Linked DNA regions of Sus scrofa. The protein of the gene in region 1 interacts with the protein of each later gene in a pairwise test. Links are inferred from orthologs where the notes say so. Each region holds a gene or a part of one and is shown on either strand. Other genes may lie near its edges.

Evidence for each region.
Region 2: the proteins of KRT40 (region 1) and ATPAF2 interact in binary tests that used the Homo sapiens proteins (3 or more experiments, as listed by UniProt). The two-hybrid records come from large-scale screens. The link is inferred for Sus scrofa from reciprocal best matches to the Homo sapiens genes KRT40 and ATPAF2.

Annotation. Positions count from the first base shown.
Region 1 is NC_010454.4:21,474,881-21,485,724, reverse strand, and holds the start of KRT40 (keratin, type I cytoskeletal 40), read right to left. Parts: upstream 5,001-10,844; 5' UTR 3,828-5,000; coding exon 3,393-3,827; intron 2,141-3,392; coding exon 2,058-2,140; intron 1,651-2,057; coding exon 1,494-1,650; intron 9-1,493; coding exon 1-8. Other genes in the region: keratin-associated protein 3-2, read right to left, coding at 8,606-8,905. UniProt on the Homo sapiens protein: May play a role in late hair differentiation.
Region 2 is NC_010454.4:60,628,138-60,637,881, forward strand, and holds the end of ATPAF2 (ATP synthase mitochondrial F1 complex assembly factor 2), read left to right. Parts: intron 1-932; coding exon 933-1,013; intron 1,014-3,044; coding exon 3,045-3,157; intron 3,158-3,327; coding exon 3,328-3,443; intron 3,444-4,767; coding exon 4,768-4,905; 3' UTR 4,906-5,073; downstream 5,074-9,744. Other genes in the region: DRC3 (dynein regulatory complex subunit 3), read right to left, coding at 5,538-5,672, 5,742-5,873, 7,947-8,070, 9,361-9,431. UniProt on the Homo sapiens protein: Plays a role in the assembly of the F1 component of the mitochondrial ATP synthase (ATPase).

The DNA of each region.
Region 1 (10,844 bases):
TTGACCTCCTGTGGGTGGATATTATGGAGTAAATAATATCAGAGTGGTGGGAAAAAAAATTCAACTTGACACCCCAAAGGCATCCCATTTCTGGTTTGGGGAGTAGTGGGTAAAAGTGGGGGATCAGATTCAGACTGCCTAACCTGAGTCTGGTTTCATCACTCAGTTTCTCCACCTGTGGAATGGGTATGATTTTTACCTTTACCAGAGAGTTATTGCGAGATACACGAGTTAAGAGACATAGAAAACACTTATCAACACTTATTGGTGCCCAGTAAGTTCTCAGTGTCGGCTGTTATTATCGTCAACAAATGTTCAAGGGGAAGTTAGACTTTGTTATGTCATCCAGCTCTTCATTTTTTTTAGCATCATCAATAAGGGATAAGTAGGAGTTCCTCTGTGGCTCAGTGGTTAATGAACCTGATTAGTATCCATGAGGATGAGGGTTCAATCCCTGGCCTTGATCAGTGGGTTAAGGATCCAGTGTTGTCATGAGCTGTGGTGTAGGTCACAGACGCAGCTCATATCCTGCATTGCTGTGGCTGTGGTGTAGGCTGGCAGCTACAGCTCAGATTTGACCCCTAACCTGGGAACCTCCATATGCCAAGGGTGAGGCCCTAAAAAAGACAAAAGACAAAAAAAAAAAAAAGAGATAAGTATACACTTCACATTTAATGATTTTTTTTTTGGCCATGCCCAATGCATGCAGAAGTTCCTGGGCCAGGGGTTGAACTGTGCCATAGCAGTGACCAGAGCCACAGCAGTGACAATGCTACATATTTAATTGCCAGGCCACCAGGAAACTCCACATTTAGTGATTTTTAAAAGTTTATAAATGCAGCATATTTAAAAGTATTTGTCCAAATACTGCATGAGTCTATATTGCCTTTTTTTTTTCTTTTTCAGGGATGCACCTGCAGTGTGGAAGTTCCCAGGCTAGGGATCCAATTGGAGCTGCAGCTGTCGGCCTACACCACAGCCACCACAATGCTGGATCCAAGCTGCATCTTCAACCTACACTGCAGCTTGCAGCAATGCCGGATCCTTAACCCACTGAGCAAGGCCAGGGATCGGACCTGAATCCTCCTGGATACTAGTCGGGTTCCTAACCTGCTGAGCCATAATGGGAACTCCTATTTCCTTTTTGAAATGGCCTTTATATTCTGCAATGATCAGCCTGCTTTTCACACCTTATGGGTTAGAGTTAAGAGCAGCAGAAAGCCTCCAGGAAAACCATGTGTGGGTTTGCCTCGGCCACAAAAGCAGTGGCAGGTGAAAGGTTTGGTTCCTCCAGCTGGCCCTGGCCAGGGGTTAATTCCGTTACATTCAGAGACACACCAGAATGATCAGGCTGGGGAGTAATAGTGCCTCGAGTCCTTTTCTTCCACCTTAAGCAACATCTGCTCAAGTCCAATCTATATACACAACACGGGTTCTGTCAGTTTAACTGTGCCCCTCTTAGAGCCGTTCAGGGATTTTGCCCTTTTCCTCACCTCTTCATGGTTTTTCTTAAGGCAAAGGAGATCATCCTTCAGAGACTCCACATGAGCTTCCAGGTCAGACTGGCACAGGCTCAGCTCCCCCAGGATCCCACGCAGGCCGCTAATGTCCATCTCCACCAGCTGGCGGAGGGACAGCTCAGCATCGTACCTTTCACAGCAAGAGACACAGCCGGTGCTTACCCCGCTGGACACTGCGCAAAGCGCTGGGCCTACCAATGACTGACGCGTGGACCCAAGGAACCCACATATCGTGACTCCTTCTACTCCCCAAATAATGAAAATTCAAGCTGCGTGAGCATTCTTCGCTTTATATATATATATTTTTGGAGGGGAGGGGGGTTGGAATTTTCTTCTGTTTTCTTTACACAGAATGAAGCATTTTCATAGCACATATTTTATAGGGTTTGCTTAGAGATGAAAACAGAAGGAAATTTCACAATTACTTCTGGCTTAAAAAATATTATGTAGAGAATACCAGTGGTGTGTGTGGAGCTATGTGAGAGAAGGAGAGAAAGAGGCAACCGTAAATTATTTTCCAATTCAAATTAACCTTACTTTGACCTAAAGTCATCGGCAGCCAGTTTGCAGTTGTCAAGCTGTACAGCAAGTCTTGAGTTCTCTGCCTTCGTACACAAGATCTGGGAAGCAAGATATTATGTCATAAGTGGTTCTGTGAAAAGAAACCCAAGTATCTACTTGTTTAACCACTAAGGCATCACTTATCTTTTAAAGTTTTACAAGAAAATATAAAGTAGCTTTCAGGCTGCTTTTATTAACCGTGTCACTTTGTGAAGAAAAAAAGGAGCACCAGTTATAAATGAAATGGAGAAATAAAAAGGTTTAGTTTTTTAATGACACAAGACTTTTTTTTTTAACCGTCACACCTAAGGCAGGGCCAGGGGTCGAACTGGAGCTGCATCTTTAGGCTAATACCACAGCCACCTCAAGAGTAGATCCAAGCCACGTCTGTGACCCAGGCTGTGACAATGCCAGACCCTTGACCCACTGAGTGAGGCAAGGGATTGAACCTGCATCCTCATGGATACCATGTCACGTGAACCTGATGAGCCACAACAGGAACTCCAACCTAAGACATTTTGCAGTATCCCTTGGCACTTAGGTTTTTCTCCAGAAGTAGTTTGTTTTACGACTATAGTACCATCCAAGATAATAAAAAATTCATCAGTAATAAAGGGAAATAATTACTAGGTGAAATTATAGGATTAAAAAGATGGCATTTTGGGAGTTCCCTGGTGGCCTAGCAGTTAAGGATCTGGCATTGTCACTGTCATGGCATGGGTTCAAACCCTGGCCCGGGAACTTCTCCATGCTGCAGATATGCCCCTTCCAAAAGACATTTCAATATCTGCGTTAAAAATACTATACAGGATTTCCCGCTGTGCTCAGTGGGCTCAGCAGAGGCTCTGGACTGCTAGAACGAAAGTTCGATCCTGGCCCAGCACAGTGGGATAAGGATCCCACATTTTCTGCACCTGCAGCGTTAAGTCACAACTGCAGCTCAGATCTGATCCCCAGTCCAGGAACTCCGTGTGCGGGGGTGGGACGGGACAAAAAAGAAAAAAAAACGCGTACATGTGTACACGTACAGTGTGTCACACAGAAGTCCTTCTCGATATAACACTGTTGTTCCTCCTTCCCTAGCTGATAAAGGTAAATTTAGAGGTCAATTATTTTATCATGATCACTTAGTAATTAGCGGCAGCCTAGGGGCTGGTGCTGAGGCCTCCTGACTTTCCTCTGCATCGCATTACCTCTGAGAAGTCCCTCCCCTTTCCCTGGTATCCTGCCACAGAACAGCCTCTAGCAGAACAAAAATAAAGCAAGTCACAGACTGGGAAGGTGGGACTTCAGGGCGATGAAATACGAGACCTTTTGTTGGAGCTCTTCAATGGTGTCGAAGTAACTCTGATAATCAGGGCACACCGACGGGGCGTCCTCTTCACACTGTTCCCGGATCCTGCATTCCAGCTCCGCATTCAGCTCCTCCAGCCCGCGCACCTTCTCCAGATAGTTGGCGAGTCTGTCGTTCAGGAACTGCATCGTCTCCTTCTCGTTGCTGTTGAACGCGCCATCCTCACCCCAGACACAGTTCCCCACCAGGCACGGAGCGTGGCAGCTCCCGGCCAAGCAGCGCGGCCTGAGGCAACCAGCTGATGCACAGGACCTGGGAGTGTGGCATCTGGAGGTGGCACAGGCGCTGGGGAGACACGTGGCGTCCACGGGACCGGTTGAAGCAATCGCGCCATCAGAAGCCCCGGCCCTCGACGCAGAAGAGCAGCAGGAGGGGGAACAGTCAGAAGCCATCCTATCAGACGAGAAGGGCAGAGACTAGTTGCAAAACTCCAGCTGCCTGCCTCCAAAAGTCTCCTTCTCTCCGGAGACTTTTATATCAGCCCCCAAATGGGTATTTACGCAAAGCACGCAAAGCACCGGATGTTTTCCGGTGCCAGTTTTCATATGAACACTCATTAGTGTTGTTTATTTGCTGAAGAAGAGTTTTATGCCTCATAAAACAGGCATAACTTCAAGTTGCTAAATAAGGACACTGTTGCCATGTGCCGGGAGGATAAAAATGCTTTTTTTCAGAAAATCTTCATAGGAAATACTTTCCTTTTGACCAAATAAGGAAAGAAAAGGGAAAATTTGGCCAATCAGTAATTATAGATACAATTGATTGGGCATAAGGAAAATAATATTCCCACAGATTTTGAGCCTGTGCCTTGAAAATGGTTTATGTCTTCTTTTAAAATTAATATTACAAGTCATTTTTTCATTTTTTTAAGGTTTTATTGAGGTAGAGTTGACTTACAAGGTTGTGATAATTTCTGCTGGACAACAAAGCGGTTCAGTTATACACGTGCCCACATCCATTCTCTTACAGGTTCTTTCCCCGCATGGATTATTACAGAATACCGGGTAGAGTTCGCTATGCTATATGGCAGGTGTCCGATGGCCAGTCATTCCATATACCTCAGGGTGCATCTGCCCATCCCAACCTCCTGGTCCATCCCTCCCTGCCCCCACTTATCCCCTTTGGTACCCACAAGTTTGTTTTCAAAGTCTGTGAGTCTGTTTCTGTTCTGCAAATATGTTCATTTGCATCTTTTTTAAGATTCCACTTATAAGTGATATCACTCATTTAAGCGCCCCTTGTTTGTTTGTGTCACCACCATAAAAGTGTCCTGTGTGGTTTGCAGTCCTTGCAATGCTTTCTGTGGTCTCGCCGTGCTCACATGGTAAAGGAGTGAGGTGTGTACTGGGTTTAAAGTGTGTATGTGAACCATACCTACTTGGGTGCAAATTGACAAGTCACTTTACATAATGGATGGGCTTAATTTTTGCCCTCCAGTCCGAAAATATAAATTGGTTATCAAGTTATGGGGTTGTGATCATTTGATTTTTTTTTTTTCTTTTTTAGGGCCACACCTATGGCATGGGGAGGTTCCCAGGCTAGGGGTCCCGTTGGAGCTGTAGCTGCTGGCCTACGCCACAGCCTCAGACAAGCCAGATCCAAGGCACATCTGTGACCTGCACCACAGCTCACAGCAACACTGGATCCTTAACCCATTGACTGAGGCCAGGGATCAAACCCGAAACCTCATGGCTCCTAGTTGGATTATTTCCACTGCGCCACGACAGGAACTCCTGAAGTTGTCATCTTTGATTTCCTGAAAATTGCCGTCTCCACATTTCTAATGCCTCGTTTTCCTATCAGGGATACGGTGGTTTTTTTTTTTTTTTTTTTTAAACTGCATCTCTAATAGAAATGAAATACAAACTCTCTTATAATCTTTTAGTTTCTTGGGAAACTAAACCCTCATTAATTAAATTACATTTCAGAGTAGGGGCAAGGAAGAAACAGGCTTTTCTTCTGGGATATGGAGCCTCTTTTCTCTTTTTTACTAATTTATTTAATCTTGAAGCTCCCAAGAGCATGAAAATTAAAGATACTGGAACTTATGAATAAAATTCTATGAGTTCCAGCAGTTCCATTGGATGAAATCTCTTGTGGTACCAAATGGATAGGTATTTGAGATGTAAGTTTTCAGGATTCTCTCTTAAATTTTATCTTCACTTTTCACTTTTCTTGGCTTTAATTGTGATATTTATTTCCTTAAAAATGTACAGAATAATTTGTCTGCAGAATCTTTAAAATCTTTATGGGAAAAAAACAATTATTCTGACAACATTAATATTTTCTTGATTTAGAATAAACAGTTTTTTTCTAATTCTGAGCACTACTTCCTTAGGTAGCTGATAGCAAAAATAAACAAATAACCAAAGCCAAACCTAGAAATCTTAAATAAATGCATTAAAATAGTCTCTTATGACTTATTATTCATTGAGCAGAGTTGGGTTTTTTCTTTTTAGGGCCGCACTGATGGCATAGGGAAGTTCCCAGGCTAGGGGTTGAATCAGAGCTAGAGCTGCCAGTCTATGCCACGGCCATAGCAAAGTGGGATCCGAGCTGACTGTGCGACCTGCACCATAGCTCACAGCAATGCCAGATACTTAACCCATTGAGTGAGGCAAGAGATGGAACCCAAATTCTCACAGAGACTAGTCAGGTTCATTACCACTGAGCCACAGTGGGAACTCTGAGCAGAGTTGGGTTTGATTTTAGTAGTTCTCTTAATATTTCAACACTTGTGCTTAAAATTCTTAGTGTGCCAATGGTATAAGATGCAGTTCTGCAAAGGACATGAGTTCAAAGTTTCAAAAACATACTTGAAAGTTATAAATATCCACAGGAAAGTTATGATCCCACAGTGACCTAGAGTCAAAGGAAAAGTTTCTTTGAAAAAATAATCCACGTCTTGATTGTCCACCCATAGGTTCCAGGGGTTAAGGATCTGGCATTGTCACTGCTGAGGCTCAGGTCACTACTGTGGCATGGGTTCAATTCCTGGCCCAGGAACTTCTGCATAATGTGGACACAGCCAAACAATTTTACAAAAAGGATGTTACTAGATTTTCCCCCAATATAATTATACCATTTTACATTCTTGACAATAACATTTGAGAGATTTAGTTCCTCCGTATCTTCACCAACATGTGGTATTGTCAGACATTTATAATTAAAATGATTTTTTGGGTCACGTTTAAGTGTTACAGTTTAATTTACATTCTTTTGACTAATGATGTCGAGCAACTTTTCATGTATTTATTGGCCATTTGGATATCTTCTTTTGTGAAGTGACTTTTCAAATCTTCAGCGTATTTTTCATGGGCTGATTATCCAGGAGAAAGTATATGTTACTTGGCAATACAGTCTCTGCAGTTCTGCTAAATTGACCATCTCCAGGATTCTTTTATGCTTCCTGTAGGTCTGAGATTTCATTTGATATAATTATTCTTTTAAAGAAAAAGACTATTCTTTAGTGTTTTTCACAGTATAAATCTTCAGACATTTTTAATCAGTGTTGTTTATCTAAAAATATTTTTGCTTTCCTTTCAAGTTTTGAAGGCTATTTTGCAAGGTATTAGAATTCTGATTAACACTTTTTTTCACTTTCAGGACCTTAAAGATGAGGTTTGACTGAGCAGAGGTTAGATATCATTTTTCTCTTGATCCTTAGGCGTGGGTTTAGCTTTTTCTGGGACAGGTGTAATTTAGTGTGTTCTTTACTCGGGACTGTGATCCTTACTCTTTTCATAAGGCTCCTTACTCTTCTGGAATACGACTGAATGTCTAAGGGACTCAAAGAGCTTTGCCTGCTCCAGAAAGCCTGGAACTTCAAAGTCTTTTAGACTTGAATGACTTCTTGTATTTCCACTCAGCTCTTTATCCCCCAGCAGCCATTCTATGCTAGCATCTTGGAATTTCATCCTGTGTGCACGCAACGCAGCCTTTTGCAAGTACTTGAGCAGATCTTTTCCATAGACCTTTGCTCCTTCCCTCATACCTCATCCTCCTAGAACCCTACTGTGCAAATTCCAGCTGCCTGGACTTCATTTAGATATGCCACTTGTGTCTTGCCATGTCTGCAGCAAACCTCAGTATTCCCCTTTTAATTCTTTCCTGCTTCTCTGCTCCCATGCTCAGTTGGTGACCTAACACCACTGCCCAGTCTCTCTTTGGCAGCGTCTTCTTTATCATAGTCTTTTGATCTCCAGCTTCAGTCAATTTGTCCTTGACTATGTCTTTCTCTTCTTTATCTTTGGGGCAGCTATCTTGATTTCTTAATGGTTCTCACTTTTGTGGTACCACAGAAGTTTATTAATGCTACTGGTAGAGCACTTATATTTTTATCATAATACCATGCCTGGCATTCAATTAATAATGATCAGTTGTATGAGGGAATGAGAGGGTATTGTGTATGTATCTGCCTCATCCTCCAGACAGTCAGCTTATTTTTAGCAGGGACAATAAAATAGATTTTTAGTATGCTTATTGAATGGATGATATTGTTATTATTATTTTATTTTTTTGCAAAAACAGATCAGGCACATCTGGGTTAGTTGATTTATTATTTCATATTTGGTCTTACCTTAAACCATTTTTGGGGCAGAAAGTCAGAGAAGCTATGCCGATATACTGGACCATTTTATATGCAAAGCCATTTAGGTTTCTTGAAACAACAAGAACAATAAAAGCACCCTTTTCGATTTTTCAGATGTTCTCATTTCTTAAAATGCAGACCTTTGGATTCAAGAAATACACTCAATGAATTAACAAAAATAAACAGAAGTAACTATAGACATTTGTGCTATGCCAGAGATGTAAAATTTATTAGGATAATCATGAAGAAGTTCCTCAATTTCCAGAAAGATACCATTCAAGACTGGAAACAGAATTCCCAAAGCACCCAAAGAAAGATACACTTTCACATGAAGGAATCAAGCAACTTTGGCAAGTCTATGAGCATCCACCTATTCCAATTGCCCTAGTTTACTGATCTCTGATCCATGGCCATTGAAAATCTCTTGGTTTCTTTTTTATGGAGGTTGTCAATGAGAGTGCCATCCTTGTTCCAGCATTGAAAGTGGAGCCACATTTGTTGCAGGTACCGAGACAGGTGAATACTAGAGCTTCTGGGTTGACTCGTTCCACATCAGGCTCCGAGCAAAGCAGTCATCACTCAGCAGCATCTTGGGATGCAGGGCTCACTGCCGCCGGGCTGAACGTAGGTTGTAAGATTGAGGGTCTCCAGGCCAGGGGTGGGCTGGGAGGAGTTGAGCAGGAAGCAGGTGGGCACACAGGGCTGAGGGATGTGGCAGGGTGGGGGGCAGTTGTCACAGCAGATTGGCTCCAATAGCCAAGTCGTGTGGGGGCAGGTGCTGGGCAGGCAGACTCCACACCGGCAGAATTTGTCAGAGGAGCAGATGGTGGTGGCGGGGCCGGTGGGGACGCTGCAGCATCGGGCAACACAGCAGGCCATGGTGTTGGGAAACTGTGTTTTTGATCGGTTTGATTTAAAGAAAGCTGGGACTTCTTCTGAGATGTGAATGTCTCTCTTTTGCTCTGGAGCTCTTATATATCCTCTCCAGTGGGTGTTGGTCCAACCAGAAGGCTTCTTTCCTGGTTCTTGTTTGTGTTAGTGCACCCATTATCCTTTGATTGGTTTGACATTTAGAGGCTTGTAAAGAGTCTCTAGTTTCCTAATTAACCTTTATTTGAGTTCATTGCTAAATCGGAACTGATTACTCTTGCTATTTGTCACTGGAACACAAGCTTTATGAGGTATCACTGAAGGCTTCTGCTATTATAATTCCAACACCAGCCCTGACGGGAATATGCGTGATGTGTGCCTGTAGTATGTAGGTCTCTTCTCTGGTGCTGCTCAGTTTTTATTCTCATGACCCGTTGGTCTGATGAAGTATTCTTGTTTTAAAGAGAAGAACCTCGTTTCAGTAACTCTCTTTTAGCTTTTGGGTCTTTAAAAAATTATCTAATTTTTAATCGATGTGTCATCGATATGGAATATTGTATTAGTTTAGTCTGGGTACTTCTGAAGATCAAAATTACATTAATATGGGGAAATACGCTATTTTTCCAGTCTTTATCATCACATATTATGTATTCATTTAAAACTCTGAACTACATAGAAAGGTATAAAGAAGACAAATCATCCATAATTTTATCATCAGGAGAAATTCTCTACTAATGTTTCCATATATCCCTCTGGTCATTTTTCTATACATTTGTTTATCATTTTATTAAATCACAGGAGTTACATATATATATATAAAATATATAATATATATATCATATCTATCTTTGGCTACACTCTCGGCATGTGGAATTTCCGGGGCCAGGGATCAAACCTGGGCCCCAGTAGTGATAACTCCGGGTCCTTAACCCTCTGAGCTACCAGAGAACTCTCCTTGGAATCATATTGTGCCTACTGTCGTATAACTTGCCTTTTTGCTTAAACATATACATTTTCATTATCTTGTATTCTTAAGTATATTTGATAACGTTATTTTTAGTATTTCCTAGTGTTCATTGTAAAACTGTATTTCTAAGTTGCCTAAAAATCTTATCTTTTTCATCATTTAAGCTATTTGCAACTTTATGATAATTGTGGCCATAGTTACTATTGTCTATAAATCTTCATTCACTTTCCTGATCACTTCAGAAACGAGAGTAATTACTGGGTGGAATTATTGGACCAAACATTAAGGAGTGATATTTTAAGGCTTCTGATATTCATTGCCATACTGCTCTCCAGAAATGGGTCTATTTACCTTTTTTTTTTTTTCCCTATTATGTATTCCTAGCAACTCTGTTTGAGAATTCCTGTTTCCCTATGCTTATGGTGGATCTGTTATTTGAAAAGTGTTTCCCAATTTGGTGGGTGAAAAATGAAATTTTATTATTGTAGTATTTGTATTTCTTTTATAACTGTTGGGTTTGAACATTCGTGCATTGTCCATTTATCTTTCTAGTGAGAACAAGCTTGCTTCGTTTTCTTCTCTGCTAAGAATTGGAAAGTTGATTTTTTTTTTTTTTTTTGTCTTTTTAGGGCCAAACCCGTAGCATACGGAGGTTCCCAGGCTAGGGGTCCAATCGGAGCTGTAGCTGCTGGCCTACATCAGAGCCGCAGCAGCAACGTGGGATCCAAGCTGCATCTGCAAGCTACACCACAGCTCACGGCAATGCCAGATCCTTAACCCACTGAGCGAGGCCAGGGATCGAACCCGTGTCCTCATGGGTGCTAGTCGGGTTCGTTAACTGCTGAGCCACGACAGGAACTCTGAAAGTTGGATTTTTAACTTATTTCTATATAATAAGTAAAAGAATAATTAAGGACAGAGATACTAATATTGCTACTAGTGGAAAGTGAAGTAAAGGGGGTTCCTGCCGTGATGCAGTGG
Region 2 (9,744 bases), about 39 Mb from region 1:
CTCAGTGACTTGGGAAAGCTGGCTCCATTTGTGCTGGGGACCTTTTTTTTTTTTTTTTAAGGGCCACACCCTCGGCATACGGAAGTTTCCAGGCTAGGGGTTCAATCAGAGCTGTAGCTGCCGGCCTATGCCACAGCCTTAGCCATGCTAGATCCAAGCCTTGTCTGCGACCCACACCACAGCTCATGGCAGTGCTGGATCCTTAACCCATTGAGCGAGGCCAGGGATCGAACCCGCAACCTCATGGTTCCTAGTTGGATTTGTTTCCGCTGTGCCACGACGGGAACTCTGTGTACTAGGGACCTTTTGATTACAGGGAACGGAACCCTCCCAGCCTCACTCAGGAAAGCACTTTTCTGGGGAACGGTCCCGGCGCCCTGCTGGCACTGGAGGGTGGGAGTGCCTCCCTCTGCCCTGGAGGCCACCTCTCTGCCCCCTTCTACTCACGCCAGCCTGGCCTCCCCTGCACCCATGCAGGTTCCTATCCCGGGAGGCCTTGCCCGCGGCTCCCTCGGCTCACCCTGCCTCCCGTGGTGCAGCCTGGCATCAGGTGGCATCTGTAGCTGGGAGGCGGGTGGGCTCGTGAGGGGCGGGCAGCGCAGTCTGGCCAGGGCACTGCCTCTCAGAAGGGGAGGGTCAGCAGGGACGTGGGGTCGGAGCTCGGGGACCAGGGGCAGTGCCGCAGGCCTTGACCTGCAGGGAACTAGTGACATTCGGGGCAGCTTACGGCAGAAGCCCCAAGGGCTTGTGCACATGTGGCGCTGCTCTCCACACCTGTGCATCTCCAGTGAGGTCCCCGGTGAGCCCAGGCTACACCTGCAGAACCACTGCCCTGGGGGCAGACCTGGGGGCGGGGGCGGGGGCAGGTTTATGCTGCCACTGGATGAAGGTCATGCTTTTTTATGAACGGGGTACCCTTTGCACTGAATTAGCTACAGGGTGGAAGAGCCGGAGACGCTGGTGGAGCTGCAGAGGAACGAGTGGGACCCGGTGATCGCCTGGGCCGAGAGGAGGTGAGCCACTTGGCAGGCCCAGGGGACTTGGGGACAGGGCTGCGCCACCTTGGGGACAGGGCTGCGCCGTGCTTCTGCCGCTGTTGGCTGTGTGACCTTGGGCTGGTGACTGGATCTCTCTGAGCTTCCTTGTCGATGCGGGGGGCTCACAGCCCCTGCCTCCCAGGGTGTTGTCAGGAGTAACCACAGCACGCCTCCTTCCAGCACGTGGCGAACGCCCCACCGCCAGCTGCCGTCCTGATCCTTGTCACAGCTGCTGCGCGCCTGAGTCACGGAGCAGCGTGTGTGACGTAGACACACAGAGAGGAGCCTGGCGGCGCGACCGACTGTGTAGGGCCTGGGGCTCATGCTGCCCCGGCTTTTTCCTCAGCAGGAGACGCTTTTTTTTTGGCTTTTTAAGGCTGCGGGTTTCCCCGACCAGGGGTCGAATCGGAGCTGTAACTGCCAGCCTACACCACAGCCACAGCAAGTCGGGATCCAAGCGGCAGCTGCAACCTACACCACAGCTCATAACAGCACCAGATCCTCAACCCACTGGGCAAGGCCAGGAATGGAACCTGCAGCCTCCCGGATGCGAGTCAGTTAACCCATGAGCCGTGATGGGAACTCCCCAGCAGGAGACTCTTGTGCCAGGCGGAAGAGCTTGTTGGTGTGGTGGCAAAGTTAACTCAGTTTCGCTTTGTTCCAGGGGTGGGGACAGGCCCCACCCTGTCTCTCTGCCACGGGGAGTGGTTCGCGGAGTGTTTCTGATCTGTACACACTTCCCGAGTGCCCACGACGTGTCAGTGCCCTTGGCTTTGTGGCAAGAGGTGGAGCCAGTGCGGCCAAGGATCAGAGAAAACCTGGCGCCAGACCCCTCGCCAGACCGTGAGGGCCTGACAGCAGCCACGAGCCTTTGCTGCGCTCTCAGCAGAGGGCTTTTTCTGGCACTTGAGATTTCTTATCCTTAGCAAGGAAAACATGGCCACTTCCTGTGTTCCTTTTGTGCTGTTAGAAATTTCAGGAAGAATGTTTCTGAACCAATGGAAAAAATCTATGATGTATGTAGAAAAATTATAAAAGTTGCTTTTATTCTGTTACATTTTTCTTGTTTTATAAAAGCGTGTTAGAGCATTCCTGAAACCAGTTCACATCCCAGACCAAAAGCCATGCCATGCATGTAGCAGAGGCCGAATAAATACATGAAAAAGTGATTGGCAGAGAACAGGTACACATACTTTTGTAAGGAAAATAATATTTAAAAGAAGTCATGGAGTTCCCATCATGGCTTAGCAGTTAAAAACCCAAGACTCGGATCCATGAGGACACGGGTTCGATCCCTGGCCTCACTCAGTGGGTTAAGGATCTGGCGTTGCTGTGAGCTGTGGTGTAGGTCGCAGACGCAACTGGGATCCAGCATTGCTGTGGCTGTGGATTGTGCCGGCAGCTACAGCTCTGATTGGACCCCTAGCCTGGGAACGTTTATATGCCGTGGGTGAGGCCCTCAAAAGACCAAAAAAAAAGTTGTTTATGGTGCGTCTGCTATTGAGCACGAGTGCTGGGACCCAGGTTCCATCCCCAGCCGGGCACAGTGGGTAAGGATCCGGCATAGCCACAGCCGCAGCTTGGGTCCTGACTGTGGCTCAGATCTGATCCCTGGCCCAGCAACTCCATGTGCTTCAGCCTGGCCAAAAACGGAAAACAAAGTCCTTTATAGCTCCAAGGTGAAAAACTTTCTTAAAAGGTTAGGAAGCGGGTAGGCCAGGGTTCTGATGGGCGTTCGGGCAAAGGAGTGAGGTCCTTGGGCGGCTCGGCGTGAGCCCTGCTCCCTTGCGTGCCAGCCCTGTATCTTCCAGGGCCACGTCTCCTCCTCTGGCTTTGTTCTTGGGAGACAGGAAATTACTGGGTCAGGGGGCCACCGACTGCCAGGCCAGCTGCTCCCAGAATCCCCGACGGGGCCCTGGACCAGGTGTGCCGCAGGCCAGGACTTTGGGCCCAGGCGGGAGCCGGCCTCCCAGTGGGACAGGGACACGCGACGCCTCTTCCTTTCAGGTACGGCGTGGAGATCAGCTCCTCCACCAGCATCCTGGGGCCCAGCATCCCCGCCCGGACTCGAGAGGCACTGGTCAGCCACCTGGCGTCTTATAACATGTGGGCCCTACAAGGTACGTGGTGCTGGGGTCTTGGGGGTGGAGCAGACGCCCCTGGAGAAGTGTGGGGAAGCGTCCCACACACACCCCCCTCACTGGGGCTCAGGGACTCGCAGGGAGCGATGTGGTGACGCCCTCTGCAGGGTGAGGCGCCCCATGTCCTGACCTGGCCTGTGTCCCTGAAGGGATCGAGTTTGTGGTGACCCAGCTCAAGTCCATGGTGCTGACCTTGGGCCTGATCGACCTGTACCTGACGGTGGAGCGGGCCGTGCTGCTGTCGCGCCTGGAGGAGGAGTACCAGGTGGGTGCGAGACTTGGGTGCCCCCGTTCAGACGCACTGAAGCGCGTTGCAGTAAAGCTGCCCCACGCGCTTCCGAGCTCGCGTGGAAACCGAACTCCAGGGGCTGAGAAAGGCATTGTCCATCATGCACCATGGCAGGGAGCTCGGCCTCCCTCCTGGCCTCACCGCCTCCTCTCAGCACCTGGCCGCCTGGGGGCTCCTGTTTGCCTGCCTCACACAGGGGGAGCCGGAGGCCCCGCTCGCTCCCCATAAGTCGGTGGAGGCTGGCTTGGCGCCCCCTCTGCAATGGAGGAGGAATGTGGTCCCCTAAAATGACCAGGAGCCCCATCCGTGCTTGTGGAGGCTGAGCCTGGGTGCCGGCCGTGTGCACAGGGCCACCTGCAGGCTGGGCAGGTGGCTGCCATCGTCCCAGGTTTGGTTTTGTGGGCTCTGCTGCGCTGAGCTTGCAGTTTCTGACCCGGAATCTGGACGGCGTTGTCTGCGGTCCCCTCGTCCCCTCTCCAGCTTCCCAAGGCTAATTGCAGTTCCACATGGCCCCTAGCGGGGGGAAAACCCTTTCATGATGACAGTATTTCCCACGCTGGTCCCATCGTTTGCTCAGAGAAATGCCAGGGGAAGAAGCCGTTCCGTGTCGCGAGTGAGGCTGGGTGCTCCCCAGATGTCAGGGAGGTTGGTGGGAAGAGGGCGAGCTGGGGTCGACGACTGTGGGGCGGGGGGGGCGGTGTCGGGAACCCTGGCTCCTGTCCAGGCCCAGTTTTTGGCTGCGAGACCCAAGCCAGGCTTTCATTCTCTGAGCCTCAGGCTCCATCCCACAAAACACTTCTCTGAGAGTGTAAGGTGCTGCTCTGGGCCGCCCAGGATGCAGGCAAGGCAGATCCTGAGTTCCCTGTCCGGGCCTCTGAGTCCTAGGGAGAGTCTGCAGCCCTCAGCGTGCAGGCCCGAGGGGCCTCTGCAGGATCGGCTTCCCCAGGAGTCAGGGCCGAAGCGACGGCGTGGCCCTGGCTGGCTTATTTATCACACCCACTCGGTGGCCCGACTGGGGGAGGCAGTGCGTGAGTGAAGCAGCCCCCTGCAGGAGGGGCCGGCGTTCAGGGAGATGCACCTGCAGTGGGCGCCTGGCCCACCCAGCAGTGGGTCCCCCCGGTCCCCGCCCGCACCCGTGCCCCAGTGCAGTGCCGGCTTTGCCCACCTGCTGTGCCCGCCCAACCACCACTCCCCCGTGTCTCGTGTGTTGGGATGAGATCGGAGCCTCCACCCTCAGCCCAGCCATGAGGGAACGCAGCTCTGGCCCATCACCCAGCGGCCTGACCCGTCCTCCCCTCAGATGCAGAAGTGGGGCAGCATCGAGTGGGCCCACGACTATGAGCTGCGGGAGCTGCGGGCGCGCACGGCCGCGGGCGCCCTCTTCGTCCACCTCTGCTCCGAGAGCACGACGGTCAAGCACAAGCTCCTGCAGGGGTGAGGCTGCGAGCTCGAGAGACTCCTGTCCTTACACGTCAGTCCCCTGGAAGTGCTGGGGCCCAGAGTCCGCGCCCCTCGTCCCGCCTCCCCGCAGGGCTCACTGCGCAGCCCTCAGCCCCAAGGCTTTTCTTTTTTCTTGGTTTTTAATCAAACGATCTTTCCAACGTGAGTCCTTCTTGGTCCAACCTGCTTGTGTCCCCAGTCTTAGCAAAAATGATGAACCCTGGAAGTAGGCAGTCTTCCTTGTTTCTGGGTGAAAAGCCTAAGCGAGGCCGCCTGACCTGCACGTGTCCTGTTCAGGGAGCCCTGAGGCCCTCCCCGCACGGCCGCCTTGCAGGCCCCGAGGGCGGGCGGGAAGCAGGGTCCATCTGCAAGCTTCAGGCGCAGAGGCTCTTGGAACCGCACCCCCGCCCGTGCTCGGGGGGGGGGGACGCTGGGAGCGGCACCAGTGGTGGGGGTGGGGGGGGATGTGACAGCCTCCCCCAGGGCGGCGGCGGCAGCGGGGGCGGCGGCGGCGGCCTGGCAGTCCCCCTCAGCAGACACCCACTGCTCGACGGGGGCACGGAGGCGGGGAGAGGTGCCGCAGAGGCCTTTATTCTTCTCTCCGTCTGGAGAGGGCGCGGGGCTGCCGCCCTAGTCCAGGAGCTCGGCGCACTCCAGGGCGTCCAGCTCCCTCTGCGCGTGGTCCGCGTACTGGCTGATCTCCTTCACGCGCTTGCGGTTCCTCGCGATCTCGTCCCTGTGGATCTGCGGCGAGGCCGCGGGTCCCTGACCTCGCAGTCCCCCCCCCCGCCCGCCCGCCCCGCCCCCAGGTGCACCTCGCGGGTGGTCACTCACTTGGTCCAGCAGGTGTGTGCACCAGGCGTGGACCTTGGTCACCAGCTCGTCCTCCCGACTGTCGATCTTGAGGAGGTGGACGTCGTGCGACGCCCCGACCGCATTGACCAGCGTGTCTTTGTCGACAAAGAGCTGGGGAGGAGCGGGACAGGGCGCGAGAGTCGGTCTGGCTTCCGCTGCCCGGGTCAGAGGCCGCCAGAGCCAGAGGGAAAGGGGCCCCCACCAGGGGAAGTGGCGCCCACCCTGCGTTCCCACTTCCTCTGGCTCATTTCTGGTGCCCACGCCAGGAGAGGGCCCAGGGGGACCTCCCCGAGGTTCTCAAGCCCGACACGCCTGAGACCCGCCCACTTGGTGGGCCGCATGAGGCTGGTCGAGGGACTGAGGCTGCTCTGAGGATGGAGGGCCCCCAAACGGATGGAGTCACCCCTGTCAGACCTGGGCCCCCTTGGGCTCCTGCCTTCTTGCTCCCCCCGAGTCCTACACCGCGTGGGACACTGCGGGGAGCGACCCCCCGCCAGGCCTGGCCGGTCCAGGTGTGTTCATGTGCTGTGCACAGGCCACTTGCCCCGACAGCCCAGAGTCCAGAGCAGGGAGCGCTGCCGGAGCCTTTGCCAGCGGCCGCTTCCGCTTTGCGGGGAGGGGACAGCGAAGCACCTGCCAGCTTACACCTGCAGGAGGGCGGGGCAGAGGTGCAGGCGGGCTTGCTGGAGTGGCCACCCTAACAGTCTCCAAAATACGGGCGGTGGATCTCGAGGGTTAGTTTCTCCGCCGGCAGAGTACTCCGTGCTTGGCTGCACCTGGGCGAGCCACACCCCCCCAGGACCCTTCCGATGTGATGTTCTTGGCTCAAAGCGTTTTTCCAGAGAAGGTTCTGGGAATTCACGTGGAAAACAGGCTTTCAACCTCGTCTCACAGTTGCCCACTTTCCTGGCCACAGACTTCTTTCCAGGGGAAGGCCTGTCTGCACTGCGCTCGGAGGCCAGGCATGCTGGCCGGCACAGCCCACGGGAGGAGCAGCGGGTGACCTGGCTGCTGGCCCAGTCCCGCTCTGTCACTCGAGTGCACCCTCCTGGACCCGCAGGTCTCCTGTTGCCCGGACCCCGTGTTGCAGCTAGTGGATGTTGAGGGCACCTGGGGAGCGAGGCTGGCTGTGCGCCTTGGTCCCCCGAACCCTCCCAGGGCACCGCAGGACTCGAGAGGGCAGGAGTGCCCGGGTTTGAAGCCAGGTCCTCAAGCAGCATCGTCTCTGAGGCCCCCTCCCCAGCGTCCTGTTTGCAGACCAGAGTGTGTAACAGAGCTACCCCCCAAGGGTCCTTTGGGAGTTAACTTGTCCGCACGAGCCCCAGAGAGTGGGCTTCTGTTGCTAGCCCCAGCCAGCCAGCAGCCCGAGTGTCCCAGGGCCACACAAACAGGCATCAGGTGGCGCAGGGCAGAGCCGTCCTGGCAGGGGGAGGTGGCCCCTTTGTGTGTGACCCAGACCCGGGAGCAGAGTCCCAAAGAACTCGTGGCCCGTGGACCGTCCGTTGGGGGCTCCAGCATGGCTCTTGGGGGCTGCCCGGCATGATGACACTTGCCGGTGTCTGGCGGACACAGTGTCTGCTGGTGTTTGGGAAGGAAGGAGGTGACACGGGGGCCCCTGACCACGTGAGTCTGCCAGGAGCTCAGATACTGGGCGTGCGTGGTGGTGAGACGTGTCCTTGGCTTCCAGGGTTGCCCAGGCAAGTCACTGACAACAGCGTGGACCCGTGCCAGGGCCCTGGCAGGGATAACCGGCCTGCGATGGAGACGGTGGGCGTCTCCACGGAGCTGACAGGGAGCTGAGGTCTGAGCGAGGAGGGCCACACACAGGCGGCCTGGGGACAAGTGCGCCTGGGGGACGGCAGCTAAGAGAAAGCCCCAAGGGCGGGTTGTGCACAAGCCCACGATGGCCGGGTTTGGCCTTTCAGAGGGTCTGGGGCCGCTGCCTGGAGGGCGGGAAGGCCAGTGGTGCCGCCAGGGGCGGTGGGGCTTGACCCATTGGCCCTGGGGGTGTCAGTGGCGAAGGAAGGAAAGGGGCGCCCTTCCCAGAGCATGGCACACCTGCTGCTGGACCTCAGCGCAGGAGACCCGGGGCCTGAGCGCTCCTCCCTGGGGTGCTGGGCCAGAGACCCCAGCAGTGCTTCTGACCGCTGAGTGCCGCCGCCCCCCGCTCGCCCCCGCGCTCACCGCCCGCACGTCGTCGGGCAGGTCCTCGTCCAGCTCGCCCTTGACCGTCTTCTCCAGGGTGTTGATGGCGGCCTCCAGGAGCTTCTCGTGGTGGTGGTTCTCCAGGTCCCGGCACTGAGCCATCGTGCGGCGCGAGTTAAGCCGGGGCGGGACGAGCAGCCCCCCCACCCCCCGGGCAGGGCCCTCCCTTTGGCCCCGGGTCCCGCTCGTCCCTCGTCTCCATCCCCACCGCCTCCCTCCGCTCCAGCCCCTTCTAACGCAGCTCCAGAGCTCCCGCCGGGTCGGAACCGAGAGGCCTCTTGGAAGGCACCTGTCCTGCAGGCCTTTGCACAGGCCGCCTCCCGGGCCGGGAAGGTCCTCCCCAGCTTCCCAGCCGGCCCTGCGGCCCACCCTGAGGCCTCAGTTGGTGGAGGCTGCCTCCAGAGCTCTGCGCCCCCGCAGGACCTCGGACCCAGGAGGACAGGACGGGGTGACTTCTGGGGTGAACCTCTGAGCCCCAAATGTCCGCTCCTAACCTAACCTTTCTCCTGACCATCTCATCACGGATGAGCAGGCAGCCTCCTCGGCACCGAGGCCGCCCCGCCCCGAGGGCGTGCGCAGGGCGGGGTGTCCCGGAGTGAGGCCTCCTGGTGAGGTCAGGACCTGGGCTGTGAGCAGCAGCCTGCCAGGCAGCCCCCGATGGGGGGCCTTCCAAACTCTAACCAGGCGCCACTGTGCCGGGGGGTCAGAGAACATCCCTGGAACATTCCAGGTGGTTGCCAGGTTTCTATCCTTTGAAGGTGGGCTTTTCTCCTCAGTGGAAAAACGGGAGGTTTTACACTCTAATCTCAAAGCTGCAGATTCCCACTAAATAGGGTCCTGTTTAGTCTCATGTTGGTGGAGAAAGAGACCTTTTTGTTTTTTTGGCTTCTTAGGGCCGCCCCCTCGGCATATGGAGGTTCCCAGGCTAGGGGTCCACCACAGCCACCGCAACGCAGGATCTGAGCCGTGTCTGCGGCCTACACCACAGCTCACGGCAACGCCGGATCCTTCACCCGCTGAGCGAGGCCAGGGATTGAACCGTCAACCTCATGGGTCCTAGTCGGATTTGTTTCCGCTGCGCCACGACGGGGCCCCCGAGACAGACATCTTTCTGTAAACCAAACGCGGCGTTGGCATTTCCGGTAAGAGTGGAAGTCTGATTACAAGAGCGCTGATTTTTAACTATCCCTGCAACGCGTCTGGGGCACTGGTGGCAATGGGAGGGGCAGGCATGTGACCCCACAGTTGCCACCTGGGAGGGAACCCCACTTCTTTTGGTTAAAAAGGCAGGTCCCTGCACCCAGCCCCCTAGAGGCCAGGAGCGCTGGCGCAGGCCAGGTGACCCCCAGCACGGGCCGCACGCCCCCCACGGAAGGTCCTCAGGAAAGGATATAGGCTTTGGACGTTTTCAACGAACAGTCCCACCAGGTCGGCGATGTTCCTTTCAAATAGGCTTATGGTCTCCTGAAAACGACAAGGAGGCCGCCACCGCGCTCGTTTAGGCTTGGACGCCCCGGGCTGCGCGCCGGCTGAAGGCGCTCCTTAGGCTGGAGCGGCGCCTCCGACCGACCGCGGACCTTCCCGGGCGGCGCCATGCCGCGACCCTGCCCGCTCTCCCTCCCAGCCGCTCCCCAGCAGCCACTCGGAGGTTCGTGGCCTTCTCCGGGCCTCTGCCCCAGCCCTGGCTGGCCCCTCAGCATGCGCACGCAGCCACCACCTTCCTTCGGGCTCCTCCGTGGCACCTGCCTCCACTTCCAAAGAAGCAGGGAGGGAGTCG